Linked DNA regions of Ovis aries. Each later gene encodes a partner of the first gene's protein in a complex. Links are inferred from orthologs where the notes say so. Each region holds a gene or a part of one and is shown on either strand. Other genes may lie near its edges. The genes, in order: DNAAF10 and ASDURF.

Region 1 (16,375 bases):
ATCACAGGACTATATAGACTATTTGCCAGAATCTCACTAAATTACACCTAAAACAGGTGACTTTATCTGAATGAAAATCATACTGTAATACAGCTATTTAAAAAATGAATTTGACAAGGAAATTTTAAGCCAAGCCTTAGAAATAATACTTGGTGGTGGTTTGTCTCTAAGTTGTGTCTGACTCTTGGACCCCATGGACTAGCCTGCCAGGCTCCTGTCCATGTGATTCTCCAGGCAAGAATACTGGAGTGGGTTGTCATTTCCTTCTCCAGGGGATCTTCCCGGCCCAGGAAGCAAACCCAGGTCTCCTGCATTGTAGGCAAATTCTTTACTAAGTAAGTTATGAGGGAAGCTTTTATAAATTATAAACTTAATATTATGTCCTAACAATAATTAGAATTACAGCAAATCAGTTACATTTTAAAACTTCTAAATTAAAAAACTATTAGGACTGTATATGATATTTTAAAGTATAGTACACACTTCAAAATTACTGAAATTTCTAGTTCAAGAGAGCTTTTCCCATGACTCTGGAGCCCCATCTCCAGGCTCAAGTCGTGAAACGTCAACACTGTAACACACTTACCTTCAGGTAAACAGGGCCACCAATGCAGTGTTAACAGTTTTCTACTTAAGTATAAAAAATAGTCTAAAATTTAGATTTGAAAATAATAGTGAGCCCCTCAGCTCAGAGCAAAGATGAGATGACTTTAAATAAAATTATTTCTGGATTTAGTAGCAGGCAGATCCCTCCTCTTCACAGTCAACTGCTTCGTTTCCCAACTTCTCGGCACTGTATAATCTCTGCGCCATCTGCCAGTAACCCCAAGCTGGTAAAGGGGCGGCTTCATCCGCAGGCAGAGAAGGGTAATCCCAGCTTCACTTCCTGCACCCTTATTTTAAGCCCATATCATCTTACTGATGTTCATATATAACTGCTCTGTAGTTTTCCCAACAATGTGCAACACTCATCTTCCCTTTATGAAAGGCCTTTATATATTCGTGCATGCACATGTGTATATATACATTTATGTTTTTATTTTTTTATTGAAGGATAATTGCTATATAGAATTTTGTTGTTTTCTGTCAAACCTCAACATCAGTCAGCCATAGGTATACATATATCTCCTCCTTTTTGAACCTCCCTCCCATTTGCCTCCCCATCCCACCCCTCTAGGTTGATACAGAGCCCCTGTTAGAGTCTCCTGAGCCATACAGCAAATTCCCACTGACTATCTATTTTACACATGGTAATGTAAGTTTCCATGTTACTCTTTCCATACATCTCACCTTGTCCTCCCCTCTCCCCACGTCCATAAGCCTATTCTCTTTTTAAAGTAAAGACTCATAATGGCACTGAACCCGCATACTTCTTGCTCTCCTCTGCTGATTTAATCGGCTCCCGTGATACTATTTAAATATTCCCGTCATGTAATTTAACAGTGATTCTCAACATTTCCTTCATTGCAAACTGAGAAAAAAGCTATAATATCTAAGATTTTTCTCAACTAAATCTGCTCTCAGTGTAGCTAACTGTTCAGCCAAAAGCATATCCTCACAAAGATTTAGAAGTTACGTCATGCATAAATACAATCTAAATCACTTCTTGAAACCATCAAAAGACCAAATGTAAATTATGACAATAGTTTTCTCAAGACTACATACTTACACATCAGCTAAAACTATCCGTGTCCGGGTCACGTTCTCGATGGTGAATTTGGTTTTTCCTCCTTTGCCAGCAATTCTGCCTATTGCCCTGGACAGGTGGTCTCCCTTTAAAGGTTTAACTAAATGAGAAAAGCAAGACCTCAGGAAGGAAGCCATTCCAGCATTACCCACTTCCACAGGAGTTTAATCATTAGCCAAATTTCCCTCCTAAAAGACACAAAACATGCATTTTTTTAAAAGCTGCTAAGAATACGGCTCAACTGATGCTACCGGAAAGCTGAGAGTCATGCAGAATACAAAGTCAGCAGTAAGAAAGTACCATCCAGGAATTCATACAAAAAGACCACCATACACTCACCATCTGTAATTTCAAAGGACTCTAGAAAGAGGTCATCCAGTCTAATAAGGGCAAGTGCATCCTACAATACAGAAATACATACTGTGAAGTGCTTCCATTCAAGTACCTGTGTGAGTGAGTGAGTGTTAAGCTAACTCATAAATTGTAAAACTAGAACACTCAAATTAAAAAACAAACAAAAAATGCCCAAATCTATCACAACATTCATGTGGAGTGTTTTCTGAGCTCCCCATTTCAGCTATCATGAAATCACTCACCTCCACCTGAAACCCAAGAATGAAGGCTTTCACAAAATCAGCTGCTTTTGTCAGAGCGCTAACATCTTTAGTTTCTTTACAAGTCTGTTTAAAAAAAAAAAAAAGGTGGGGTAAGAGGCACAAATTATAGCTGGAAATGAAAACGGCAACATTCTAGCAAACTACTAGGACTGACCTTTCCCATTACTGTAATTTCCTTCACCATCACCCTTCCCAATAAATTCTCTGTGACCCAGTTTTTGGTGAGGTAAGTACTGTGTTTAGTTTTCAAAACAAAACTTTGCTAGCTCCAGGGTTGGGCAGTTCCCCTTCAAATACTGTCAAAAGACCGACTGGACTCCATGGCTGATCTGACTCTGGAGCTACTGGCAAGATTCCTCCACTCACTCCCATTCTGAAGTACCTCCATCCTCAGTTCATTTCCATCCAAGCTGGTCCTCTTCAGTGCCATCTCCCTGGGAGTCCAGGTCTAACCTCCCGACTTCAACCACCATTCCTGTGCTGATGTTGCCTTCCCAAAGCAACAACTCTAGTACTAACTACCAAGAACGGTTTAGGCAATGATCCTGCCCTCAAAGATTTTATTTGATAATCACAGAAATAGGTGCTCTTCATAAAATGCCCACCCCTGTAAATGACACGAACTGCAAAGATGCTTGACAACACTATAACTCTGATCTTCTTGTCAACCTAAATTTAAGCAAGATAAATACTTTTACATTAGAGGAAACTCAAGCACCATAATGAAAAAGTAAAATCTGAACCCGGATCTGATTCCAAAACCATGAGTTCTCTTCCACACAGACTCACAGTTGAGTCGAGGAGGCTGTGTTTGTATTTGGCAACTTTGAAACCATGCAGGGTTGTGTAACAGCACATTTAAAACTACAGATCCCAGTCCCAATTCCATATGTGACCTTAGGCACGTCTCATGAATGCTCTAAGTCTTAAGTTTTCTCATCTGTAAAATAAATTGGAACAGAAGAGCCTGAGAGGTCCCTACCAGCACTGATGACTTTGCCCAAGATACTCCTTGGCCAGTTTCCTCACATCTATTAGATGGGGTATGTTATCTACCTCACAGGGCTGTTCTCAAGACCAAAATGATGTAATGCCTGCCAAAGCGCCACTCTGTGTCTGGTACAGAGCAATATCAACAAACATCAGAGGAGTCCAAACTGATGGTGCTGCAATACATAATCAAGAGACTCTGACAACTTCTTTATTAAGCCTTTTATCAGTCAGCAAAACATAAGTTTAAGCCCTGAAGACTAGACTGAAAAAAATGGACTGGCAGTAAAGGAGAAAGAACTTGAGCTAGATTCTGAAAGATGATGAAACTGAAGTAGGAAGGAAAAGGAAGTAGGGAGGACAAGGTCTTCACAGAGCATAAGGAGGGACAAGAAAAATGTTCAAAGCAATGGTAAGAGGACTTGGGAATGAGATTCCTAATTTAAAGTCAAATTCAAATATTTTTATCTTTCAGAGATACTGTAGATATCAAGATATCAATAAAAGAAGTGTGGTCTGGGAAAATTAATCTGGCTCTGGCAAGAAGGATGGAGAAGCGAAATGAGATTTAAAGATATTAAAGAAAGCAAACTTATAAGCAAACAAGTTCTGGCAGAAAACCATAAAAACCTAAATGAAACTGACAGTGAGAACAAGGAGAAATTCTGTCAAGTTCTGTATTTTAAACTCTGCCAACTATTTAGGACAGTGCCTCTCTGCTTTGCTCCATTATTCTAACCCCTCAACAGAAATAAGTCTATAACAACCCTGATAATGAATCCTTAAAATGGAAGATATAATTAATTTTGGTCACTGATTCGAATGCACAATTGGAATCCACAGGAAAAAAAACCCCATCTATTAATTTTAATTGTCCACCTCCTAGACTGACATCATGGAATGAATAAACAAATATTTTTACGTAATTTACACTTACTCTCAAAACTTATTTTTTCCTAAAAAGTAACACTAAAATATAGTATCTGTACTACAGCAAGTACTTCGGCTGCTCATTTACATACTTCTATTGACGATAACCTCTTTATTAACCCTTTAATCAATCAACACAGAACACTTTAAAATGTGCTGAAACGCAGCTGGTAGTTTAGTTTAGTTTCAGGTCAAACTGGAAGAAACTCATTCAACAAGGTAAGTCCCACTAAGAATTCCTAGAAAGTCTGTTCTTTCTTCCTAGGACAGAAAAACCTCGGCATATTTTAAAGTGGTTAATAGTCTCCTTACTCTGATTTCAACATTCCTCGATTTCAAGTTAAAGCGTATCTGAAGTCCCAAATGCTCCACAATAGGAGTAAATATCTTCAGCCAGTTCTCTTTTAGTGGCGTGTATCTGTTAGCTGGGACTGGAATTTTCCTGGTTTCTTCTTTCCCATTCTACGACAAAAGAAAACACAACTCAGCAGTTGTTTAAAGGAATGAGGGTGAAGTTGTAACGACAACTGATCCTCAAAAAGCCTCCTTTAATTGGACAGATTAAACACCAGGAGAGTCGCCGCTCTGAGCTTCACTCCAGAAAAAGCGTCATCACCCAGAGGCCACCGGGCCGACCCGTCTCTGGCCCCAGCCCCGTTCCTGTTCCTCGGTCCCAGCCAGTACCAGGAACCCGTCCCCGGAGAGGGGCGGGAAGACGGGCCTCTTAGCGGGTCGAGCTTCCTCGGTGTCCATGCAGGTCGCGTCGCCTCCCTCCTCCGGCGTGGACGGCTGCTCAGCCTGCCGTTTCTTCGCCCGCCGGCCACCTTTGCGGGTGACCTGACTGAAGCCGTCCTCGGCCAACGGGCTCTGTGCCTCCATCACGCTTTCCATTCTCCAGAGCCTCCAGCCCCAACCTCAGCTTCCAGCTTCAACACGTGCGAGGCTGTACCGCGCAGGCGCGCCTCACAGGCCCCCAACCTCCGCCAACCAGCCCCAGGGCTCCGCCCTCTTTCCTAAGACGTCCCATGCGGGGGACCTAAAGCGGGAGTTTCTGCGTGTTTGTTGGTGAGGAGGGAGGGCTGTCCTAAAATATGCCTGATTCTTAGGTTCGCCCTCTGCCCACACCTCTCGCAGTCAGCGCGCTTTATAACCCATAATCTGTATCTGTACGAAAGGCACTAGGTAAAGCCATAACAAGTTTGTGTTGTTGGGGAAGGAAACTCTTGTGGGCCTGCACTAGAGCATCCGGCATTATCTGAGAAACCTAAAACTGCTTGTTAGGTTTCTAGGGGCGCCTACGGCAGGCGGGAGGGACAAACTATCCGTAACGTTTGGACTCTGGTTTCCAGGTTTGTTTCGTCAGGGTTTGTTGGCTGTGTCCCGCTTGGCGGAGGCGAAATCTCTCGGCTGGACCATGTCGGCCTTTGAGAAGCCTCAGATCATCTCGCATATCCAGAAGAGCCTCAATTACACGGTGTTTGACTGTAAGTGGATGCCCTGCAGCGCCAAATTTGTGACCATGGGCAACTTCGCACGGGGCACCGGCGTCATTCAGCTGTACGAGATCCAGCAAGGGGACCTAAAGCTGCTGCGGGAGGTGGGTGCCGGGTCGAGACCTCCCAGTTCCAAAATCTGGGACTGCTCCTGGAGGGGAGTGCGGATCTTGGGGGCGGGAGTTCTGCGTTCCTTTTTGCCAAAGCCTTTGTCCAGCGTCCCCCCAAAGCGGTGCTGAAACTGCGCGGGAGTAGCGAATCTGACCGCAGACTGAGGAATAATTCCGACGTAAAACGCTTTCGTTCGAGACCTGAATTCTCATCGGGCTAATTCATTCCTGCTTTGCTGGTCCCTTCCTCCAGCCATCCCCACCCTTCTCCCAGTCCAGTGCGAGGTCCCTGGAGGTGACGTTATAACTTCACGTTTAAATTCGAGGCGTTTCTGGGCAGTGCGCATTTGTTTGTGGAGAGTCTTTTTTTCTTTTTATTTTTTGAATGTTATTTTTAATATAAATTTATTTATTTTAATTAGAGGCTAATTACTTTACAATATTGTATTGGTTTTGCCATACATCAACATGAATCCGCCACGGGTGTACACGTGTTCCCCATCCTGAACCCCCCTCCCACCTCCCTCCCCGTACCATCCCTCTCGGTCATCCCAGTGCACTAGCCCCAAGCATCCTGTATCATGCATGGAACCTGGACTGGCGATTCGTTTCATATATGATATTATACATCTTTCAATGCCATTCTCCCAAATCATCCCACCCTCTCCCTCTCCCACAGAGTCCAAAAGACTGTTCTATACATCTGTGTCTCTTGCTGTCTCGCATACAGAGTTATCGTTACCATCTTTCTAAATTCCATATATATGCGTTAGTATACTGTATTGATGTTTTTCTTTCCGGCTTACTTCACTGTGTATAATAGGCTCCAGTTTCATCCACCTTATCAGAACTGATTCAAATGTATTCTTTTTAATGGCTGAGTAATACTCCATTGTGTATATGTACCACAGCTTTCTTATCCATTCATCTGCTGATGGACATCTAGGTTGCTTCCATGTCCTGGCTATTATAAACAGTGCTGCGATGAACATTGGGGTACACGTGTCTCTTTCAATTCTGGTTTCCTCGGTGTGTATGCCCAGCAGTGGGATTGCTGGGTCATAAGGCAGTTCTTGGAGAAGGCAGTGGCACCCCGCTCCAGTACTCTTGCCTGGAAAATCCCATGGGTGGAGAAGCCTGGAAGGCTGCAGTCCATGGGGTCGAGAAGTGTGGGACACAACTGAGCGACTTCCCTTTCACTTTTCACTTTCATGCATTGGAGAAGGAAATGGCAACCCACTCCAGTGTTCTTGCCTGGAGAATCCCAGGGATGGGGGAGCCTGGTGGGCTTCCATCTATGGGGTCACACAGAGTTGGACACGACTGAAGCGACTTAGCAGTACCAGAAGGCAGTTCTATTTCCAGTTTTTTAAGGAATCTCCACACTGTTCTCCATAGTGGCTGTACTAGTTTGCATTCCCACCAACAGTGTAAGAGGGTTCCCTTTTCTCCACACCTTCTCCAGCATTTATTGCTTATAGACTTTTGGATCGCAGCCATTCTGACTGGCGTGAAATGGTACCTCATTGTGGTTTTGATTTACATTTCTCTGATAATGAGTGATGTTGAGCATCTTTTCATGTGTTTGTTAGCCATCTGTATGTCTTCTTTGGAAAAATGTCTGTTTAGTTCTTTGGCCCATTTTTTGATTGGGTCGTTTATTTTTCTGGAATTGAGCTGCAAGAGTTGCTTGTATATTTTTGAGATTAGTTCTTTATCTGTGGAGAGTCTTTTAATGGGTCCAAGATAGTAAAATACTTGGTCATACAAGCAGAGCCAAAGCAGGCACTAGGATGCCTACTATGTAATTGGAGGAGACAATCCAAAACAATTATTCTTTCAACAAGTGTCAGTTGATTGCCTGGTATTCTCCAGCTAGTAAATGACAGACAATGTCCCTGATTACTATGGAGTTTTTTTTTCCTAGTGGGAGAGAGAATCAATTAAATAATCAAACTAACAATACATAAAACACAAACTGAGATGAATTCTCTAATGTAAAGGCACATGGTTCTATGAGAGTAAAAACAAAACCAGAAAACCAGATTTGCATTGAGTAAAAGCTAAGTAGGTCAAATTAGGAGTTGAGATTTCCAAGAGGAAACAGCTCAGCAATGAGGGAGAGAGATTATCTCCTTTTGGAACAAAACAGCAGAGAGGAGGCCTTGCAAATGCTGTAGATCATTTAAAAGATTTGTGCCTGTTTTTGTAAGAAAAATGGGACTTCAGTGAAGGGCTTTATGCAGGGTGTGGCAAGGTTAGGTTTACAAGTTTTGTAAAGATTACACTAATGGAAGAATTGGAGAATAAGGATATTAACTAACATTTTTATATCTGTTTACTAGTTTTTAAATGCCTTTAGAGCACTCCAGGACTCTTGCCTGGAAAATCCCATGGACGGAGGAGCCTGGTAGGCTGCAGTCCATGGGGTCGCTGGGAGTCGGACACGACTGAGTGACTTCATTTTCACTTTTCACTTTCATGCATTGGAGAAGGAAATGGCAACCCACTCCAGTGTTCTTGCCTGGAGAATCCCAGGGACAGGGGAATCTGTTGGGCTGCCGTCTGTGGGGTCGCACAGAGTCGGACACGACTGAAGTGATTTAGCAGCAGCAGCAGCAGCAAAAAAAAAAAAAAAAAGATCAGTTATACTCAGATGTTAGCACTGTCATAGACTACAGGGAAGTTTGTAACTCCAGGGACCAAAAACTATGGAGAGAATCTGCTTGGAGGAGTTAGGGCCTCAACTGATAGGCAAAGGATGCATACACTTTCTCTAGGAAAGCTTAGATTAGAAAGTATGTAAGGCCTCATCCCATTTTAAATTTCTATAAATGCTACTTTTCTTGTTCAGATTGTCTTTGCTGGCCAGGCAGGCACTCTGCTCCTAAGCAAGGCATGTTCTTTCCTACCTTTCCTTATGTTTTTCATCATTTAGCCCCTAGTCACCTGTTGCTATTCTAAGATCCAGTTCAGATTATTTGACTATTGACATCTCATTCCTGATCCCCACATAAAGTAACTTTTCTTTATTGCTTTCCTATGGTACATAAGTACCATTATTATCTGTGCTAGAAATATATCCTTCTGTCCCATGTATCTCTAATTAGATTATAAACTCCCAGAGAGTAAGGACAGATCTTTCTTTAGTGTGGTATAAAAGGAGCAGCCACTCAATAAGTGACTTGTTAAAAGAATGAGTGAATTTATGTCTGTAAAAGAATATAACTTGGAACATTTAAATATTGACTTATTAATCACTAATTGATTGAGGCCAGGAGTTTGAACACGTAGGAAACATTGAAATTGGAGAAAGAAAATGGTGAACTATTAGGAATAAATACTAGTCAAAACTCAACCAGAGTTGAGTTTTGTGACATGTTTTTAGTAGGGCTTTATGACTTGTGTACATTTCATGAATACACTTATTTTGTAAAGAGAAATTGTGTTCTTTGTCTCTTCTAGAATTCTGGAAGAGTCTAGCAGTATTTTTTTTTGAATAATTTTGCTTTTTAACTAAAGTAATGTATGTTCATGATAGAATATACCAAAAATATAGATAGGGAAAAGAAGTGAATTGATGTCACCCACCTCGACACTAGGAGTATCCACTTTTTATATCTTCACCTGTATCCTTTGAGTCTTCTCTTTCTCTACCATAAATTTTCCATTGAGAACCTATCATTTCAAGGTACTATGATAAAGAAGGACCAAAGTTATTTGAAAGACGAGTCCTTCCTCCTAAACAACCTACTGCCTAAAGTGAGGGTAAAACAAATGCACAAACAGATTTAAGAGCTTACATTGTATTTGGCTGTGATGATGCCGTGGAAAAGAATATAGGTTAAGGACAGTCCCAGTGATTCTCAGCTCTTACTGTGCTCCAGGAGCATCTGAATGTGTATCATTACTGTTGTTTTGGGTGTACTTGGGTGTACGTGTTTTAAAATATTCATGCCTTGGTTCCACCCCTGGAAACTGATGCACTGGGACTCTTTCTTGCCTCTAGACGAGTTTGAGTCCCAGAGGTCAGTATCTTTTAAACTTCCAACAGATGATTCTAATGAGTAGTAGGGTTGACTGTCTTCATTGTTTAGTCACTAAGTTGTGTCTTATCCTTTTGCGACTCCATGAACTGCAGCCTGCCAGGCTCCTTCTGTCCATGGGGTTTCCCAGGCAAAAATACTGGAGTGAATTGCCATTTCCTCCTCCAGGGGCTCTTTCTCACCCAGGGATCAAACCTGAGCTTCCTGCATTGGCAGGCAGGTTCTTTACCACTGAGCCGCTTAGGTACCTTTCAGTTCAGTTCAGTTCAGTTCAGTCGCTCAGTCGTGTCCGACTCTTTGCAACCCCATGAACCGCAGCACGCCAGGCCTCCCTGTCCATCACCATCTCCCGGAGTTCACTCAGACTCATGTCCATCGAGTCCGTGATGCCATCCAGCCATCTCATCCTGGGTCGTCCCCTTCTCCTCCTGCCCCCAATCTCTCCCAGCATCAGGGTCTTTTCCAATGAGTCAACTCTTCACATGAGGTGGCCAAAGTACTGGAGCTTCAGCTTTAGCATCATTCCTTCCAAAGAAATCCCAGGGCTGATCTCCTTCAGAATGGACTGGTTAGATCTCCTTGCTGTCCAAGGGACCCTCAAGAGTCTTCTCCAAACCACAGTTCAAATGCATCAATTTGTCAACGCTCAGCGTTCTTCACAGTCCAACTCTCACATCCATACATGACCACAGGAAAAACCATAGCCTTGACTAGACGGACCTTAGTTGGCAAAGTAATGTCTCTGCTTTTGAATATACTATCTAGGTTGGTCATAACTTTTCTTCCAAGGAGTAAGCGTCTTTTAATTTCATGGCTGCAGTCACCATCTGCAGTGATTTTGGAGCCCAAAAAAATAAAGTCTGACACTGTTTCCACTGTTTCTCCATCTGTTTCCCATGAAGTGATGGGACCAGATGCCATGCTCTTCGTTTTCTGAATGTTGAGCTTTAAGCCAACTTTTTCACTCTCCTCTTTCACTTTCATCAAGAGGCTTTTAGCTCCTCTTCACTTTCTGCCATAAGGGTGGTGTCATCTGTGTATCTGAGGTTATTGATATTTCTCCTGGCAATCTTGATTCCAGCTTGTGTTTCTTCCAGTCCAGCGTTTCTCATGATGTATTCTGCATATAAGTTAAATAAGCAGGGTGACAATATACAGCCTTGATGTACTTCTTTTCCTATTTGGAACCAGTCTGTTGTTCCATGTCCATTTCTAACTGTTGCTTCCTGGCCTGCATACAGATTTCTCAAGAGGCAGGTCAGGTGGTCTGGTATTCCCATCTCTTTCAGAATTTTCCACAGTTTATTGTGATCCACACAGTCAAAGGCTTTCGCATAGTCAATGAAGCAGAAATAGATGATTTTCTGGAACTCTCTTGCTTTTTCGATGATCTAGTGGATGTTGGCAATTTGATCTCTGGTTCCTCTGCCTTTTCTAGGTACCTTTGGAGCTTCCCAAATGCATTTTCCTTTCTTTTCTCTCTTTTTCCCTCTTCTAAAGCTAAGTTAGTTTCTAGCTATCATTGTGCTAGTTGAATTATTAGTTAAAAAATTAGGAAACATCAAATATTAGGAAACTTGATTTTATCCTTGTAGAACTACTTCAGCCTTGTGCTCCAGAGTCCGTGGGTGCAGGATAAAAAGGAAGGAAGAAAATGAGTCTTTGTTGGTGCCTCCTTATTACTAATCAGATAGATAGGGAATGAAGGCAGGGTCTTCGTATACAATTGAGTAGTTTGTTAAACTGCACACAGGTATCTGGCCAAGGGTTCAAGTGAAGGCTGAAATCCATCTCTCTCCAGCTTTTCCCCTCCTGTGTGAAACTTCCATCAGCCTGTAAAGGGCGCCTTCCACCCCCCCCCCCCCCCCCCCCCCCCCCCCCCCCCCCGACTTGGCCCAAAGGACTAGGGGTGGCCCTGAAAAGTGCCACATTTGGGGATGTTTACACTTTAAAAATTAGTAATAATCTAATAAAGTTCTGCTCTCTTAGCCCCTGTGCCACTGAATTCACTGCTTGTTAACATTTGGTTGACTAAACCTTTTAATGTTAATTAAGTAGTGCCAGGATGTGGAGGAGGAAATACTGACAAGCTGTACTAGACCCACCCACAGATAGAACAAAAATAGCTCTGCTGGGAATTATTGATCATGGGCTTCCTTAATCATCTTAACTTAGAGCAAAGAGAACCAACAACTGGGGGTCAAATATGTCTGTCATCCACTGTCATTTTCAGTATCATAGCGAAAGTTAATACATTCTAATTTACTTTATGGAACACATTTTGCAAAATAGATCTCCATTTTTTTTTTTAAACCAGTTTTCTAGCAGGAAAACTTAAGTGTCCCCTGAATTCTTTTCATCTTTTCTTTTCCAAAGGTAAAACATTTAACAGGGACAAGGAGGGGTCCCTCTTATGAACTATTAAAAAGAAAAATTAACTTTACTCCAATGTCCTTTCTTAATTTAGCTAATTAACCTAGCTCAGCCTTTGAGCAAAGCGCAGCCCTCCCTGCTGTGCAGATAACAAGATGTTTACACATTTGAGTTTATTTTTCAGTATGGTTCTGTATTTTGAGTTTAATTTGATTATTGATCTTTAATTTGATTCTTTAAACATCATTTGCAACAGACTACTAGTTAAATCTTTGATATAAGAATATATGGCTATCCTTTGATAAAAGGATGCAAGAATAAAAAAATAACAGGAAGCATAAATATCATGTTTACATTTTATGAAGACATAAAATGAAGGTAGAAACCAAAGGACACAAATCTGAAAGTAGGTTTAAGTCAGGCCTTACTTACCTCACCAGTCTAGTTCAGGATTGGAGCATTTCTTTGGGACTTCTCAGGGCTCGGTTTTACAGAATGGGGGCTACATAGGAAATGTTTATTTAACTGATTTACATATAGTCCTGGAGACAGCGTAGTGTAGTAGAAAGAGCTTGGGATCTACCTGACTGTAGGAATCTTTTGAACCTGCTTGTCATCTGGAAAGGGGTGTGCCAAACACTTAGTTTGCAGTGGCATGTGTTAGAAAGAGAAGGGATGGACTAGCACAGAAGGACATCAGAGCAGTATCTGATACATTGGTGTTCCATATACGGATGCTGTTTTTATTATTGCATATAAAATGACACCAAAAACTGTGGTCTGTCAGGTGCAAATACGGCGGAGAAAAGGGAACATGACCTCCAGCAGTGGTTTCCCTCTCTCCAGCACTGGGACTGAGAAGTTAATCCATGTTCATTTATACTTTCATTTAACAAATGTTGAGCACCAATTAAGTGTTGTACAAGTTGCTGAGGGCCCCATTCCTGTGGTATTCATTCTAGGAAGGGAGGAAATAGATAACTGAGTGAATAAAAGAATTTTGTTGATAAGTGAAATAAGATTAAACAGGGCAAGTGATTGGGATCTGGGGGTTTCACTTAAGATTAGAGGGGTGGGGAGGATCTCTTAGAGGCGTTGGTTGACATTTAAGCTGAAATCATTGGTAGAAGACATGAGAGGAGGGAAGACCAGTCCAGGCAGTAGGAGAGTGAAGTCACTCAGTCGTGTCCGACTCTTTGCGACCCCATGGACTGTAGCCTACCAGGATCTTTTGTCCATAGAATTTTCCAGGCAAGAGTGCTGGAGTGGGTTGCCATTTCCTTCTCCAGGGGATCTTCCCAATCCAGGGATCGAACCCAGGTCTCCTACTTTGCGGGCAGACACTTTACCATGTGAGCCACCTGGGAAGGCCTAGTCCAGGCAGTGGGAACAGCAAATGCAAATACCCTGAGGCCGCAGGACTGGTGAGCCTGGATAATAAAAATGCAGCCGCAGGTGTGGCTGGAGTGTGAAAGGAGAGAAGCAGGAAATGAGGTCAGAGAGACCTGCAAGGTCAGCCTTCAGAGGGCTTCGTACATTTATATACCACAGGCCTTGGTGCCACTCCTATGGGTCTGTGCCTCTAAATGTAGATACATTTTTATCTCATTTCATTCATTATTTGCAATAAACTCCTCTTTTAGAATCCATGTGATGATACATGTTAAATTATCTAGTATAGGCCCCACCGCGTACTAATATTAGAGTAGTTCTCAGGTTGTTTTCTCCTAAGGTAGGAATTCTCAGATGTGTTCAGGTGTCAGTACATCTGGCCATTGTGGTGTGGTTTTTAGAACAACATGAAATATTGTAATAATCAGGTCCACCTCTGCACAAGCACACGTTTTCCCAGTAGAAAAAAATACATGTACTCTGAGTATATATATTATATATACTTTGATATTTGCATCACAAGAAGTAACCATACATAAACATTTTAATCCTCATTTCCAGGTTTTCTTGATGTTTATTCGCTGGTATTTCCTAGCAGACAAACTAAAAAAGTTATTGAAGAAAACTTAAACCTGAGAAAAAATATCCATTAGTTCTGTGTGTGTGTGTGTGTGTGTGTGTGTGTGTGTGTGTGTGTATCTATCCGTGTATCTGTGAATTTATGTTAGCACTGGAAGATCAGTGGTTGCAGTTTTCTGGTTTCTCTATTCCACAGGGTCTAAAGGCAAAAGTTAGGTAAAGCTATAACGGAGGAAAACTTTGGCTTCCCAATTTTTTATTAGCAGCAGTAAACACTTAGAACTGTGTGCTTCCTACAGGGACTGAAAAGTAGGGGTCAACTTTTTTCTCTTCCATGACCTAGGAGGAAGAGAGACCCCATCAGAGACTCCTGGGGAAAGCAGTGGAATTATGGGAAACAGAATCTTTAGCTGGTGGAAGAGAAGACAGTGGGTGACCAGTCTTCCCAAGGCTATTTGGGGAAGAATTTTCCCAGAGAGTTTATCAATATACGGTGCAAGCCCTCCTGTAGTGCTGAGGTCCTTTAATGGACCGGAACCTGGTGGTCCGGAGTCGACCGATAAGAAAGTAAAGGAGAGAGAAAGAGGCTGATGTTCCTTGGTTTATGCAGGAAGCCAATGAAGCCCCTGCACGGGGCTTACTCTGTTCAAGAAGGCCTCAGGTGCCCTCTCAATGGAGAGAAGGCAGAGAGGGTCTTAGAAGCCCGGGCAGGAAAATGAACTCAAGAGAGCCTCTGTGCTCCAGGGGATCAGCCTGAAAAAGAGAGAGAGGGAGAGAAAGAAAGACACGGGAACCAGAGCTCTGATGGAGCAAAGCTGTTTTAATCAACATGATGTGGGCATATATACTGTCTTACAAGGTAGTTATTCTCAGCGAAGATAAAATATTAAAATTCCAGACTTACAAAACATAGGCGATCCATATTAAAGAGAGAGAGAGTTGTAAACAATCACTTTTACCATATGGTTCACAAGAAGGAAGAGGGTGCTTATCACTGTATAGGAAAACTAACGAAGGAAATGCTCTCCTCTTAATTCCTGAATACTCAGTAATTAATAAGGAACAGAGAATTCCTGACAGATTCAAAACAGCACACAGGAGGCCTCCTGTGAAATGCTTCCTGACACTGTAGTTCTTAATACCCAAGACCCTGGAAGCATATTCCTGTCCCTCAGGGCCCACCTGTTTCTGACCTGAGAGGCCTGTTCACATCCTCTGCCTTAGACTGAGGGAGTCATTAGCGGTGACCTGGAGTTGGGGGAGACCCAGGCCCTGTGTGAGACAAGTGGAAGGAAGGAGTGGGGAGCTGTTTCTTCAGTTGGTCCAAGTTGGAAGTCTGAATTAGTTTAGCTATAGAAATTGTGTTCTAATAGTGTGATTAGGTGATTAGCTATAATGATTAATTAGTTGAGTGATTAACTATATCCATATTAACATATTGTTTCAGGTATTTTATTTGGGGGAAGGGGATGGTGGGGAGGATGTAAATGATTTAGAATTGGAAACTGCTTTATTAAATTCACAAAATTTTGATCCTCCATGGTGTCCCATTGTAAGGTACGTTTTCCATAAAATCGGAAAAATAGCTGAAATAGATGACTATCAGTTTTCTGATGTCAGATATAACTGATGCTGTCTCAGATCACCAGGGTATTAAAAAGGAGGGAAAATTGACATTCCGTGTTCTGTTCTCACCAATACAGTCTTTTACCACCGTGTTATTGTAAAGTGAAAGGAAAGTGAAGTCGCTCAGTCGTGTCCGACTCTTTGCGACCCCATGGACTGTGGCCTACCAGGCTTCTCTGTCCATGGGATTCTCCAGGCAGTAGTACTGGAGTGGATTGCCATTTCCTTCTCCACTTATTGTAGGCATCTGGTTAAACAAAATTTAATCAAAAGGTCCCGGACAGTTCCAAAGAGTCCCAGCTTTATTTTAGGCCAGGCTACCTAGTAACTGCTAGTTCGTCCAGATCCCAAGCAGAAAGTTCAGCAGACTAGGAGTTTCCAAAGCCGTGGAGCATATGATGATTTCTTTTGAATCATGAAAGAGAAGTTCAGTTATAGTTTGTGTTAAATGAATTTTATTTTCTTCTTTGAAAATTGCTACATATACCCTATGTGGAAATACCCAACCAAACATTGAAAGTGGTAGGAAAAT
Region 2 (15,560 bases), on another chromosome or scaffold:
TCGAGTCAGTGATGCCATCCAGCCATCTCATCCTCTGTCGTCCCCTTCTCCTCCTGCCCCCAATCCCTCCCAGCATCAGAGTCGTTTCCAATGAGTCACCTCTTCACATGAGGTGGCCAAAGTACTGGAGTTTAGCTTTAGCATCATTTCTTCCAAAGAACACCCAGGGCTGATCTCCGTTAGAATGGACTGGTTGGATCTCCTTGCAGTCCAAGGGACTCTCAAGAGTCTTCTCCAACACCACAGTTCAAAAGCATCAATTCTTCGGCACTCAGTCTTCTTCACAGTCCAACTCTCATATCCATACATGACCAATGGAAAAACCATAGCCTTGACTAGACAGACCTTTGATGGCAAAGTAATGTCTCTGCTTTTCAATATGCCATCTAAGTTGGTCATAACTTTTCTTCCAAGGAGTAAGTGTCTTTTAATTTCATGGCTGTGATCACCATCTGCAGTGATTTTAGAGCCCCCCAAAATAAAGTCTGACACTGTTTCCACTCTTTCCCCATCTATTTCCCATGAAGTGGGAAGTGATGGGACCAGATGCCATGATCTTCGTTTTCTGAATGTTGAGCTTTAAGCCAACTTTTTCACTGTCCTCTTTCACTTTCATCAAGAGGCTTTTGAGTTCCTCTTCACTTTCTGCCATAAGGGTGGTGTCATCTGCATATCTGAGGTTATTGATATTTCTCCCGGGAATCTATTCCAGCTTGTGCTTCTTCCAGTCCAGCATTTCTCATGATGTACTCTGCATAGAAGTTAAATAAGCAGGGTGACAATATACAGCCTTGATGTACTCCTTTTCCTATTTAGAACAAGTCTGTTGTTCCATGTCCAGTTCTAATTGTTGCTTCCTGACCTGCATATAGGTTTCTCAAGAGGCAGGTCAGGTGGTCTGTATTCCCATCTCTTGAAGAATTTTCCAGTTTACTGTGATCCACAGAGAGGCTTTGGCATAGTCAATAAAGCAGAAATAGATGGTTTCCTGGAACTCTCTTGTTTTTTCAGTGATCCAGCGGATGTTGGCAATTTGATCTCTGGTTCCTCTACCTTTTCTAATACCAGCTTGAACATCTGGAAGTTCACGGTTCATGTATTGCTGAAGCCTGGCTTGGAGAATTTTAAGCGTGTGAGATGAGTGCAATTGTGTGGTAATTTGAGCATTCTTTGGCATTGCCTTTCTTTGGGATTGGAATGAAAACTGACCTTTTCCAGTCCTGTGGCCACTGCTGAGTTCTCCAAATTTGCTGGCATATTAAGTGCATCACTTTCACAGCATCATCTTTCAGGATTTGAGATAGCTCAACTGGAATGCCATCACCTCCACTAGCTTTTTCGCAGTGATGCTTTCTAAGGCCCACTTGACTTCACATTCCAGGATGTCTGGCTCTAGGTGAGTGATCATACCATCGTGATAACCTTGGTTTTTTCCTAGATAATAAATATTAAGCGGTGTTTCTACTGAGCTTCTATTCTTCATAGTCACCACTAGGGGGCGCATATAATTTACAGTCTACTAGATGCCACAGGGTAAAGAGCGTTTCAACATCCCAACCGCTAGGGTCCGTTCGGGCCCCTAACTTGTGCGCACGCGCGCGAGTACTCCTAGCCCAGATCCGGCCTGCGCAGGCGTTCCAGTGAGCACGCAGACGCCGTTGATAGGACTCACCGGAAATTGAAAGGGAGGGGCTGGGCCGCGGGGAGCGCAGACGCGCAGGGGCTGCGGACGCGGAACTGCTGGGGTGCCGCCCGGCCTCGCGCCCTGCCTGTTTGCTTCTCCGCGGAGATGCCCAGCCGGGGTGAGCGACCCGAGGACGGCGCTGGGCCCGTCCCTGCTGAGAGCTCGACCCTGCACAAGGACGAGCTCAGCAGCAAGGTGAGTGCGGGACGAGGTAACATGGCCCTCGGGCTGCTCACCGCCGGAGACGAGCCTCGGTGGCCGCGTGCTCTAGTCTCGACTTTGCCCTGCTGCGAGAGGCACAGTTAAAGGGACACCTTGAAACTTGCCCCGAGATTAGACCCAGATGGTAGTAAGGCGGAAGTTTAGTTGGTTTTATTTTATCAATTTTTAACATATTTTAAAGTATCATACAGTAAAATTTGGCTCTTTTTCGTTTTCTCTGTATTTAACACGTGTCTAAATTTGTGTGACCACCGCCACAATTGGAATATAGACAAGTTCCACGACCCTGAAAGACTCCCTTTATAGGCATGCTCTCCCCCGCCCAGAACCTCTGGCCGTCCCTGATCTGCTCTACATCAGGACAGTTTTATCCTTCCCAGCACATCATGTAGTGAAATCACAGCTTATGCCTCTCCAAGCTTAATGTCTTTGAGATTCACGGTTGGATTTTTTTCTATGTATTCTTAGTTAAAACTTTTAGAAATTACCTCCCACCCTAGATCTGCTGCCTGCGGTCTCAGAAAATGTCAGCGCCATCCATGCAGTTGTCCATGCCAGTAACCTGGGAGCCCATCTTTGCATCCGTCACGAAGTTCTGTCCTTTGTAAGGTGTCCCTTTATCACTGTGTACACTTTTAACCATCTTAAACCCGCCCCTTGCATGTGCCATAGGGAATCCTGCAAAAGTTTCCTAACTGGTCTCTCCTTAGCCATTGTTGCCTTCTTCTCCCCTATCCTTCATTTAGCTGGAGCGGAGAAGGCAGTGGCACCCCACTCCAGTACTCTTACCTGGAAAATCCCATGGATGGAGGAGCCTGGTGGGCTGCAGTCCATGGGGTCGCTAAGAGTCAGACAGGACTGAGCAACTTCACTTTCACTTTTCACTTTAATGCATTGGAGAAGGAAATGGCAACCCACTCCAGCGTTCTTGCCTGGAGAATCCCAGGGATGGGGGAGCCTAGTGGGCTGCCGTCTCTGGGGTCTCACAGAGTCGGACACGACTGAAGCGACCTAGCAGTAGCAGCAGCAGCATGCTCCTAAAAATGTTATTTCATTGTTGCTCTTCTGCTCCTCCCCTCACAAAAGGGAGCCAATATAAGGCCATAAATGGAAAAAAGAAAAAAAATTTTTTTAACATTTGAAATGAGGATGGCTATAATCTTTCAGGTAATAGATGTCTAAGATAATACTTTGGTTCTGTCCCAAACTGACACTGGCATCTTGGGCACATCTCTGATTCCTCTGTTACAGTTTCCTTGTCTGAAGTTCTAAAGTATACCTACCATTCCTAAAATGAATGGGAAAGTGCTATTCAAACATAAGCCTTAAAAGGAAGTTGTACAAATTCAGTCTTGGAATTCAACTCAATCTCTGTAATCAGTCACTACAGTGACTGGCAGCTGGAAAGCAGAAGGGTACACATCTGTGGGGAATGAATTTTCAGACTGCACACAGCCTGCTCTGATTCCTACCATAGCATGCCCTTTACTCTTGCCTGGTGGGCTCCTCCATGGGGTTGCAAAGAGTCGGACACGACTAAGCGACTTCTTTCACTTTTCACTTTCATGCATTGGAGAAGGAAATGGCAACCCACTCCAGTGTTCTTGCCTGGAGAATCCCAGGGACGGCGGTGCCTGGTGGGCTGCCATCTCTGGGGTCGCACAGGATGGGACACGACTGAAGCGACTTAGCAGCAGCAGCATGCCACTTATACTGATGTATGACAGATCCCCAGGCATCAGAGGTTACAAAATAACACTGTTTAGAGGCTATGGTGACACTGTGTAATCAATCATGTTTGCAGTATCACTATCATTACTGAAAAGAGTTTAAAAGAAATTTAGTTTCCATTTAGTTGAGCCCTGCTACTGCTAAGTCACTTCAGTCGTGTCCGACTCGGTGCAACCCCATAGATGGCAGCCCACCAGGCTCCCCCATCCCTGGGGTTCTCCAGGCAAGAACACTGGAGTGGGTAGCTATTTCCTTCTCCAGTGCATGAAAGTGAAAAGTGAAAGTGAAGTCGTTCAGTCGTGGCCAACTCTTAGTGACCCCATGGACTGCAGCCTACCAGGCTCCTCTGTCCATGGGATTTTCCAGGCAAGAGTACGGGCTCTTATTGAGCATGCTTTGATAATCTCTGATTTAGTACGTTTTCTTTATTTCAATAGATTAAAGAACAAAAAGTTGTTGTGGATGAACTTTCTAACCTGAAGAAGAACAGGGTGAGTTATTAGCATTACTCTGAATACTATGTGGGAGGATTTGATATCAACTGTATAAATCTATGTATTAATCATAGTTGCTGATAATCTTTCCCCAACATATGCAATTGACATTACCTGCGAATCAAATGATACTGATTGTACTATGTTATCCTGGAGCTTTAGTCAATAATGGTATTTATTTTGTACTTGAATTTGGTGTATTCTTTTGACATAAACATTGAATCTGTTGAGAAGAGGAGAAGCTATACAAGTGAATGTGGATAATTATTTTTTGTTTGTTTATTTTTTAAAAAAGATAAATGCTACCACCTCCTCTCCCTACCTCCTCAGGTTTTTACTCCAAGCTTCCAAATCCTTAACGTGGTTATTTAACTCCATTTTCATTAATGTATTTATAGATAAGCAAGCTTCTGCTTAGTGTGTCATTATACTGCCAAACATTGTGTTTTAAAGTTAAGAAATGATTTGAGCCCTTTAAAGCTTTTAAAGGTTACTGGATAACAGACAGGTTAGACATTTCTCATATGTGGAGTAGCAGTTAAGCTACAGTTGATAAACTTTGTATAAGGCAGATTGGCGAAATGTATCAGTCTTAAAGCTGTGTAATATTTTGATCTAGCAAATCCAGTTTGATTCCTATTTATAGGAATTGATACATTAGGAAAGTATCATGGAGTACACAGAAATTTAGTTACAAAGACATTCATCACAAGTTTGATTTATAATAGTAAAAAGTTGGCAACATCTAAATGACCAGATAAACTATAATATTACTGACGAAAAATGATATTAAGTATATTCAGAGAAAAAAAAGTTTTACCTCAGTGTTAATGGTAGCAGTTTCTAGATAGTTGGATAATGGGTGAGTTCTTTGTTTATCTTTATTTGCCAAGGTATCGTTCTGAACATGTTACTAAAGTTCAATACTAAGTAATAATAGGGTTCAGAGTTTTGACATCTACCTTTTAGATCAAATCATGATATTAGCCTAAATTATGTTTTGCAGAAAGTATATAGGCAGCAACAGAACAGCAACATATTCTTTCTTGCAGACCGAACAGAAATGCTTTCTGAAAGCAAAAGTAAGTTTTTTTGGCACATTATACAGAAACAAAAAGAAATTCTTTTGTGGGCTTTCTGTGGAAATTCATGATGGTGGCTAAATTATACTGTCTACAGCTGAATGTATAAATATATATATCTAAAGATTGGATGGTGGTGTACTAGTTAATAAAATTAGTGGAATGGTTTGGTTTTCTTCAAGTTAGCCTTCTAATGCTGAGTTAACAGTAACAATAAAATCAAATTTAAGAACTATAAGATGTGTTGGAAAGCCACAATAATTAATGTAAGCTTTGGAATTTTAGTCAGATATAGGTATGAAAGATTATTCTACCAATTTCCGCCTTTTTGATTTTGAGTGAATCACTTTGAGCCTGCCAAGTCTTACGGAATTTAAATAAAATGATATGTGTATAAACTGTGCATAGCCCAATGCCTGGGTCAAAATAAGCATTTAACAGCAGAAACTAGATTCCTAAATAATAAACATTCTTCATCAGAAGTCTGTTGTAAATTATTATTGAAACTGGCACAGTACATATGTGGTTCAATCTTGGAAAAATAGCTTGTTTTGCCTTTTAATTACTAGGTAAAGCTTCAAGAATTTTTATTCTTTACTGTGTCTTCTCCCCTCTCCCACAGACATATTGGATGAGCTGAAGAAAGAATATCAAGAAATAGAAAACTCAGAGAAGACCAAAATCAAGAAATAGCCAACTTGATTTTACATAGCAATGTGTGGCATTTGTTGTGCAGTAAGCTTTTCTGTTGAGCATTTTAGCAGAGGTTTGAAAGAGGATTTACTGTGTAATCTTAAACGACGGGGGCCCAATAGTAGTAAACAGTTACTAAGGTCCAGTGTTAACTACCAGTGTTTATTCTCTGGCCACGTCCTTCACTTAAGAGGTGTATTGACTGCCCAGCCTGTGGAAGATGAAAGAGGCAATGTATTCCTGTGGAATGGAGAAGTCTTTAGTGGGATCAAGGTTGAAGCCGAAGAGAATGATACTCAAATCATGTTTCATTATCTTTGCTCTTGCAAGAATGAATCTGATATTTTGTCGCTCTTCTCAAAAGTCCAAGGTCCTTGGTCTTTTATATATTATCAAGCATCTAGCCATTCTTTATGGTTTGGTAGGGACTTTTTTGGTCGTCGTAGCTTGCTTTGGCATTTTAGTAACTTGGGCAAAAGTTTCTGCCTCTCTTCAGTTGGCACCCAGGCATCTGGAGTGGCCGATCAGTGGCAGGAGGTTCCAGCATCTGGAATTTTCAGAATTGATCTCAAATCTGTTTCCATTTCCCAGTCTGTCGTTTTAAAGTTGTATCCTTGGAAATACAATTCTGGGGGGGATGATATCAGAGAATGTGTTAATAGCCTGACTGAGATTTCAGCAGACTTGCCAACATTTGTCTTGGTGGCAGTAAATGAAGCCAAACTGTATCTTAAAGAACCTGTTGTCCCTTTAAATAAGGCGTTGCCGCAAGCTGCATTTGAGACCCATTGCAGCAGCATTTCCAGGAGTCCACTGACAAGAGAGACCCTTCGGGTCTTTCTTACTGATGGACACACGAAGGAAGTAGTTGAGCAGTTCATTGGTGTCCTGAGCATCGCAGTCAAGAGACGTGTCTTGTGTTTACCTAGGAATGAAAACCTGGCACCAAGCGACGTTTTGAAAACTAATAACAGGAAAGCAAATGTCGCAATTCTGTTTTCTGGAGGGATTGATTCCATGGTCATCGCAGCCCTTGCTGACCATCATATTCCTTTAGATGAACCAATTGATCTTCTTAATGTGGCTTTCATGACTAAAGAAAAGACTGTACCAGTTAATTTTAACAAAAAAGGGAGAAAACAGAAAAATCATTGTGAAATACCCTCTGAAGAATTCTCCAAAAGTGCTGCTGCTGCTGCTGCTGCTGCTGCTGCTGCTGCTGCTGCTGCTGCTGCTGCTGCCGCTGCCGCCAGCCCGGGTGAACAGTTCAATGTACCAGATCGAGTCACAGGAAGAGCAGGACTGAAGGAACTGCAAGCTGCCAACCCTTCACGGATTTGGAATTTTGTTGAAATTAATGTTTCTCTAGAAGAACTGCAAAGATTAAGAAGAACTCGAATATCGCACTTAATCCAGCCCTTGGATACAGTCCTGGATGATAGCATTGGCTGTGCAGTCTGGTTTGCTTCCCGAGGAGCTGGCTGGTTAGTGACCCAGGATGGAGCACAGCCGTATCAGAGCAGTGCAAAGGTATGGCACAGCTGCTCAGAATTTCTGAGACCTAATTTTGACCCTTAAAGCTTTTAACGCAAGTTGCAAGAATATAGCGTCTTTTAATTGCATTTAAACTACCACACAAAGTATATGACTTTGTAAAAACTGGGCATACTTCACTATCTTATGTCTGCCTTGTAGATTTTTTCTGAAAATGTTATCTTTGGGGTTATTACTTTTTTAAGCTTTTGCTTTCCTTACTGCATGGTAGGCAATATTGTGACATAGATTTCTCTCAACCTTTGTAGGTAGTTCTTACTGGGATTGGTGCGGATGAGCAGCTTGCGGGTTATTCTCGTCATCGGGTCCGCTTCCTGGCACATGGGCTGGAAGGACTGAATAAGGAAATCGAAATGGAACTGGGTCGAATTTCCTCTAGAAATCTTGGTCGTGATGATAGAGTTATCAGTGATCATGGAAAAGAAGCAAGGTAATTCTTGTCTGTTGCAGGGTTGTTCGGTAATTTTGTGAAAGCGGTGGACTGAACCTAAAAAGGAGACTTGTAGGTCCCTTTTTCTTTGGATACTTGTCCCGGTGAGTAACAGGAGCAGCAGTATCTTGGCTTTGTATTACAGTTAGTCAGAAGCAGTGATGGAGAGGAGCCAGAGGAACAGTGTTTCCAGAACTCATTCTCCAAGAAATGGCTTTACAGTAATTTTCAAAGGTGGTACAATGATGTGATTAAAGGCTACAGTGAAAGATTGTAAAACTTGAGGTAGTGAAATACTGAGGGGAGGTATTTCAAGGGCTCTGTTTTGTTTCAAATGTTTGCTTTCTTCCCAGGCTTCCTCCTCCAGTGTTACAGAGCCTGACTCTGTAGACATTTCTTGTATGTACAGGCGTACTTGGAAATCCTGCATGCTCAGTTCCAGACCATTGCAACAAAGCAAGTCAAACGAATTTTTTGGTTTTCCAGTGCATACAAAACCTATCTTTATACTATGCTGTAGTTTATTGAGTATGCAGCCGCATGCTTTTATGTTTGCTGTATTTAGATGTAAATATGTATTTAGTATTTAAAATATGTATTTATGTATTTTGATATAAGTAAACATAACATTTGTCTAAATTTTTATATATATACCTTAATTTAAAACTACAAAAAGCAATCTCAGTGATAACATCAAAGATTATTTATGTTATCACATATCACCATAAGAAATATAATTGTTTCTGTTGTTGTTTAGTCGCTAAATCATGTCCAACTCTTTTTGCAACCCCATAGTCGCTCGCCAGTGTTCTCTGCCAAAGGGATTTCTCAGGCAACAATAATGGAGTGGGTTGCCACCATTTCTTCTCCAGGGATCTTCCTGACCCAGGGATTGAACCCAGGTCTCCTGTACTGGCAGGCAGATTTTATACCACTGAGCCACAAGGGAAGCCCAACAGATATAACAAGAAAAATGTGAAATATGGAAGCATTTCCAAAAACGTCACCCAGAAACATGAAGTGAGCAAATGCTGTTGGAAAAATGGCACCACTGATAGACTTGGCTCGTCACAGGGTTGCCACAAACTTTTAGTTTGTTAAGGAAAAAAAAAAAAAGAGCAGTCTCAATGAAGCGCAATAAAACAAGATCCATACTGATTTAAACGGTGGTTCCAGTACTGGAGTCCCCTCTATCATAGGTGTTTTGAACACAATTTAGTCATAAACATTCCAAGTTATCTTAATAGTTTCAGAGATCAAGGCATTTACATGTGTATATTCTTTTTTAATCTTAGGGATTTGTGTTTACCTACAACATGTTTCTGATGATAGTAAACAAATGCTTGAATACAACTTTTTGAAGCATTAAGGAAAAAGATGTGTCGTTGAATTATAGAAAGCAGAAGTTTGTTCAAGTAGGTTAATTTATTAAGTGGTAGTTTTATTGCAGGGGTACAAGCATGCAAGGAGTCCAAATGAGCTTTGTGGGAGTTGGAACATCATAATATACCAGCTCTGGGACATCATTGTTTCTTGTCTCTACTTTGTTATTCCCATGTTGCCAGTTCTGACATTTAAAATTAACATAATTTTCAAAATTCTATCATAAAGAAATAAGTAACACCACAATACAAAGTGTATAAAATGTTTTCCTTTTGAAGTGTATCTGTATATGAGAGATAATTCAGCCCACTTCAGCTAAGTTAGAGAAAAGAGAATTTATTTTATTCAGTAAAAGCAGTTAATTCTAAAAGACCCCCCGCCACCCCGCCATATGATACTCATGGATAAAAATGGATATGAAGAATGTTTCAAACAGCTAATGCAGAATTGTAGTTGAACTAAACCAGTTTATTATGGATTTGGGCATACATATTAACCATATTCTGTTAATTAGTTTCTCGTCTAAATTTGCTTTCACAATTCATTTTTATAAAATATTCTGTTTAAAGAATGCCTTTACCCTTTCCCATCTCTCTGCTTAAGCTAAAGTGAAATATAAAACACTAGTATAATTGCGGATGGGGGAGGGATTCAAGTATTTTAAACAAACAACAGAATTTGCTAGGAAATTAGGGGAACCTAAAGAGCAGAGAGTTGTATTCCTTAAGTTCAGTTTCTTTAGACATGTAAAGAGCAGACACAGGTTGACTTATCAACTCAAGACCATGCTTATTTTCAAGGCATTCCTGAAGATACCTTATGAAACAATTTGAAATTATTTCTTGACATCATAGGCTTAATTTATTTTATTTATTGAGGGAAAAATTTTTTACATTTTAGAATGTGTATTACAGTTAGACAAGTGTTGTGAAATAGTTTTTAACGTGATTAAATCTTAGCTGTAAAGTTATGTAAATAGAATATTTTTAATTTAGAAAAATTGTGCCTTCAATAATTAATTTATACCTTAAATTTTAACATATTGAATAAAATACAAACAATCACAAGAGATAACTTTTTTAAATTGTGGTTATACTTTTTATTTTAGATTTCCTTTCCTGGATGAAAATGTTGTCTCCTTTCTAAATTCCCTGCCAGTCTGGGAAAAGGCAAACTTGACTTTACCCCGTGGAATTGGTGAAAAACTAATTTTGCGTCTTGCAGCAGTGGAACTTGGTCTAACAGCCTCTGCTCTTCTGCCAAAGCGGGCCATGCAGTTTGGATCCAGAATTGCAAAAATGGAAAAGAATAATGAAAAGGCATCTGATAAATGTGGAAGGCTCCAAATCATCTCCTTAGAAAACCTTTCTGTTGAAAACTAGATGTTTCATAGTGTAACAACATTTACTGAATGGTGGTTTTTTAAAAAAAAAATAAAATACTCTGCTGCTTTATTATTGCATAATGTGTTTTTAAAGTTCATTACATGAATTTTTATATAACTTTGTAGAGTAGTGCAACCAATTTAATCAAATTGATACTCCAGAGAAAGAGATTACACTTGAAAGAACAACCTGGATATTTTAAACTGTGATATTAATATTGTTTTGAACTCTTACATGGTTATGTCCCACCAGCGTCACTGAAAAAAGGCAGCTTTTATGGACTCTCTTCATGGTAGCTACATCCAGAAATACTAGTATAAGTCAATTTGTTATTCTTTAACAGACGAGAGAACTAAGGCTTTTGAGGTTCACACTCCTGAGTGATGTGTGGTACATCTCTTTAGACAGCTCACGGCCCTGCTCCGAGAACTTTTGAAGACTATTTTGAATATTCTCCTGTCCCACAGATCTCTAATGTCCCTCTGTTTTCCCATTGTCAGTTCATGACCTGGGCGTTTCACAGAGAAATCAAAATCAAGCCAAGGACGACTTGGTTTTCCAAAACCAAAAGTCCTAATTTACCTGTGTGTGCACCCATCCTTTTCTCCCTTCTTGCTATTAGAGAAATGTATTTAAAATGTTCTAATATATACCAATTTAAAATGCATATCCCTGGTCCCACATCTTCCATCTCTTGCCTCCCATTCACCTTCACCCTTTCAACCTTTTTACCTATTTACTGAAGTTCACTCCAACCAGACTTCCACCCACAGTATTCATTCGTGACCATGATACCAAGGTCACATTTGGCATCCATCCCCACTTAGGGCTGACACCCTTTCTAGGTCTGGACATACTGTGGTTCTCCTAAGTATAGTGGGAAAGAAAGGATACTAGCAGGCGTGTGTCAGGGCTTTCCAGCTGGCTCTAGTGGTAAAGAACTTGCCTGCCAATGCAGGAAATGTAAGAGACATGAGTTTGATCCCTGTCAGGAAGCTCCCCTGGAGGAGGGCATGGCAACCCACTCAACAGTATTGCCTAGAGATTCCCATGCACAGAGGAGCCTGGTGGGCTACAGTCCATAGAGTCACACAGTTGGACACAACTGAAGCAACTTAGCACAAGCATGTGTCAAAAGATCTTCACACGCCCTGAATTTATTTCCCATCAAATGCAGTGTTCAAACGAGATTCAGATATTAACTGAATAGCTTTAAACTGGATGACTTCATGGTCCTGAGCACTAAATTGATGCTCCTAATGGGAGTAGATGAAGTTTGCCCTGCACCCCAGAGTTCAATGTAATGATTTTTATAACTATAGTTCAATACTAAAGATGCCAGGCACTAGTCTGAATTTTACATGTATTAATTTAATCAACTGAATCTCTGAAGGGAATCTCTAGTTCACTTGTTCTGGCAGGATGCTCTGTGCATGTCTTTTGTTTGTTTGTTTTTTTTGGTTTTTGTTCCGTCCCCAAAGGGCCTGATTTTTTACAACTTTTTTGATACCTAACCCCATAAACTGGAATGAAATTCTGTTAATCCTTCAAACAAAGCAAAAGTCTTTCCCAAGATCCCACATAAAACAAACTATCTGCATACCTGAACAAAACCTTTTAGGTAAAGAAATTTACGTTACTCATACTTCATAAGTGCAAACATGCAATTCCTAAAGAAGACCGTGGTTTGACATCCCTTGCCCTGGGAAAGCAATAACAAATTTACTAATACTGCCACCACAGCAGCTAAAATAATGACATGGTTGGACTAAGAAATTCTACCTTCAAACAGTTAAGCAAAACCCTGCTGCTGCTGCTAAGTCGCTTCAGTCGTGCCTGACTCTGTGCGACCCCATAGACAGCAGCCCACCAGGCTCCTCCGCCCACGGGACCCTAGGCAAGAACACGGGAGTGGGTTGCCATTTCCTTCTCCAATGCATGCATGCATGCATGCTGTGTCACTTCGGTCATGTCTGACTCTGTGCGATCCCACAGACAGCAGCCCACCAGGCTCCATCCCTGGGATTCACCAGGCAAAAACACGAGTGGGTTGCCATTTCCTTCTCCCACCAAAACCCCCTCTGTTGCTAAATTCAGTGAAAGGTTTGGGTTCTCATCGCCCTTGACCTGGAGCAGCATCCAGTGAAGTTGGCTTCTATGACCACACTTGGTTTCTGCTCTCCTGGCGGCTCGCTGTTGGTATTCTTTCCTGCCTCCACCCTCTCCACATGACCTTTAAATAATTAAATCCCTCAGGTCTCCATCCTGGGTTCTCAAGTCTCTATTCTCTTTCATGGTGATTCCAGCCATTTCCCTGGCTTCATTTACCCTAAGCCAGCCCGAGTGTATTCGTGTAGCCCAAGCTGCTGCTTTTAACTCAGACCTTTGTATCTTAGGCACATCTGACACCTCTGCTTGGTTCTCTCACAGGTAAAACTGAACTCTTAATCTTGCCCTGATCCTGCATGTCTGACAAACTTAGGTGTCGCTACATGACCACCGTCTTTTTAAACTTTCCCACTACTCGATCTGTTGCCAATCAGCTCTCCTTACTTCTCAAGCGCCCCTACTCAAGCCTGTACCTACCTACCCTCTACTGCCACAAATCAAGCCCATACTCTTGGGATAAAGTTCAGAATCTTTAGCCCTCACCTACCTCCTCATCATATTTTTGTGTCCACGTCTTTCTTGTTCTCCATACAGAGTTTTGTTCCATTGCTCAAAAATTGAACTTTTTTCTCATCTCAGTTGCTCGTCACCTGTTGTTCCCTATCCTCGGAAAGCTGCTTCTCCAACTCTCTGCGTGGATAGATCTTTATCAGGCTCAGCTTAAAAGATCACTTCCTCAGGGCAGCCTTTCCCAGCCCTGGTCTTAGTTAGCATTCCTTCACATGCTGTTATGACATCATACACTTACGGCATTGTTTAAATACAGCTGTGTGCTTATTGGAGGAACTAACCTTGGGGCTTTACCTCTGCCTTTTCCAGGGTCTCCAGTGCCTAGCTCATAACCAGCGTTCTGTAAGTGTTTATTGAAGGAAAGAATGATGGTAGAGGAGGGATTCCAATTCAGGACTACCTCAGAGCCTGGTGCCTTGCCAACGCCACACTTCTGTGCTTCCTTGGAGTCAAACTGTCAAAGTAAGAAATGATAGAGATGGTGGTTCACCTGGTGAAGAATCCGCGTGCAATGCAGGAGACCCAGGCTAGATTCCTAGGTCGGGAAAATCCCCTGGAGAAGGACTAGGCTACTGACTCCAGTATTCTTGGGCTTCCCTGGGGGCTCATACGGTAAAGGATCTGCCTGCAATGAGGAAGACCCAGGTTCAATCCCTGTGTTGGGAATATCCCCTGGAGGAGGGCATGGCAATTCACTCCACTATTCTTGCCTAGAGAATTCCATGGACAGAGGAGCCTGACAGGCTATAGTCCATGGAGTCACAAAGAGTCGGACACAAGTCAGCAACTCGACTGAACGGGACTTGGGCTCTGAGCACCATGCTGTGTGTTGTGTGCTTAGCTGCTCAGTCGTGTCCGACTCTTTGTGACCCCATAGACTGCAGCATGCCAGACTTCCCTGTCCATCACCAACTCCTGGAACTTGCCCAAACTCATGTCCATTGAGCTGGTGATGCCATCCAACCATCTCATCCTCTGTCGTCCCCTTCTCGTCCTGCCTTCAATCTTTCCCAGCATCAGGGTCTTTTCAAATGAGTCAGCTCTTCACATCAGGTGGCCAAAGTATTGGAGATTCAGCTTCAGCATCAGTCCTTTCAATGAATATTTGGGACTGATTTCCTTTAGGATGGACTGGTTGGATCTCCTTGCAGTTCAAGGGACTCTCCAACACCATAGTTAAAAAGCATCGATTCTTTGGTGCTCAGCTTTCTTTATGGTGCACCTCTCACATCCATACATGACTATTAGAAAAACCAAAGCTTTGACTAGACGGATCTTTGTTAGCAAAGTAATGTCTCTGCTTTTTAATTTGGTGTCTAGATTTGTCATAGCTTTCTTCCAAGGGGCAAGCGTCTTTTAATTTCATGGCTGCAGTCACCATCTGCAGTGATTTTGGAGCCCCCCAAAATAAAGTCTGTCACTGTTTCCACTGTTTCCCCATCTATTTGCGATGAAGTGATGGGACCAGATGCCATGATCTTCATTTTTTGAATGTTGAGTTTTAAGCCAACTTTCTCACTCTCCTCTTTCACTGTCATCAAGAGGCTCTCTAGTTCCTCTTCACTTTCTGCCATAAGGGTGGTGTCATCTGAATATGTGAGGTTATTGATATTTCTCCTGGCAATCTTGATTCCAGCTTGTGCTTCATCCAGCCTGGCATTTCACATGATGTACTCTGCATAGAAGTTAAATAAGCAGGATGACAATATACAGCCTTGATGTACTCCTTTCCCTATTTGGAACCAGTCTGTTGTTCCATGTCTGGTTCTAACTGTTGCTTCTTGACCTGCATACAGATTTCATAGGAGGCAGGTAACGGTGGTCTGATATTCGCATCTCTTGAAGAACTGTCCGCAGTTTGTTGTGATCCACACAAAGTCTTTGGTGTAGTCAATAAAGCAGATTTTTTTTTTTTCTGGAACTCTCTTGCTTTTTCTATGATCCAACAGATGTTGACAATTTGATCTCTGATTCCTCGGCCTTTTCTACATCCAGCTTGAACTCACAGTTCACATACTGGTGAAGCCTCACTCCGAGAATTTTAAGCATTACTTTGCTAGCGTGAGATGAGTGCAGTTGTGCAGTAGTTTGAACATTCTTTGGCATTGCCTTTCTTTGGGATTAGAATGAAAACTGATCTTTTCCAGTCCTGTGGCCGCTGCTGAGTTTTCCAAATTTGCTGGCATATTGAGTGCAGCACTTTCGCAGCATCATCTTTTAGGA

What was found.
Region 2: DNAAF10 (region 1) and ASDURF share a complex: the UniProt entries of both Homo sapiens proteins name them as parts of the PAQosome complex. The link is inferred for Ovis aries from reciprocal best matches to the Homo sapiens genes DNAAF10 and ASDURF.

The regions. Positions count from the first base shown.
Region 1 is NC_056056.1:40,160,378-40,176,752, forward strand, and holds the start of DNAAF10 (dynein axonemal assembly factor 10), read left to right. Parts: upstream 1-5,539; 5' UTR 5,540-5,638; coding exon 5,639-5,821; intron 5,822-16,375. Other genes in the region: RNA-binding protein PNO1, read right to left, coding at 1,670-1,787, 2,027-2,087, 2,284-2,367, 4,537-4,686, 4,909-5,115. UniProt on the Homo sapiens protein: Key assembly factor specifically required for the stability of axonemal dynein heavy chains in cytoplasm.
Region 2 is NC_056055.1:119,665,070-119,680,629, reverse strand, and holds ASDURF (ASNSD1 upstream open reading frame protein), read left to right. Parts: upstream 1-1,710; 5' UTR 1,711-1,789; coding exon 1,790-1,879; intron 1,880-4,074; coding exon 4,075-4,128; intron 4,129-5,137; coding exon 5,138-5,213; intron 5,214-5,835; coding exon 5,836-5,906; 3' UTR 5,907-5,927; coding exon of another isoform or gene 5,928-7,436; 3' UTR 7,437-7,708; coding exon of another isoform or gene 7,709-7,890; 3' UTR 7,891-10,381; coding exon of another isoform or gene 10,382-10,655; 3' UTR 10,656-10,727; downstream 10,728-15,560. Other genes in the region: ASNSD1 (asparagine synthetase domain-containing protein 1), read left to right, coding at 5,928-7,436, 7,709-7,890, 10,382-10,655.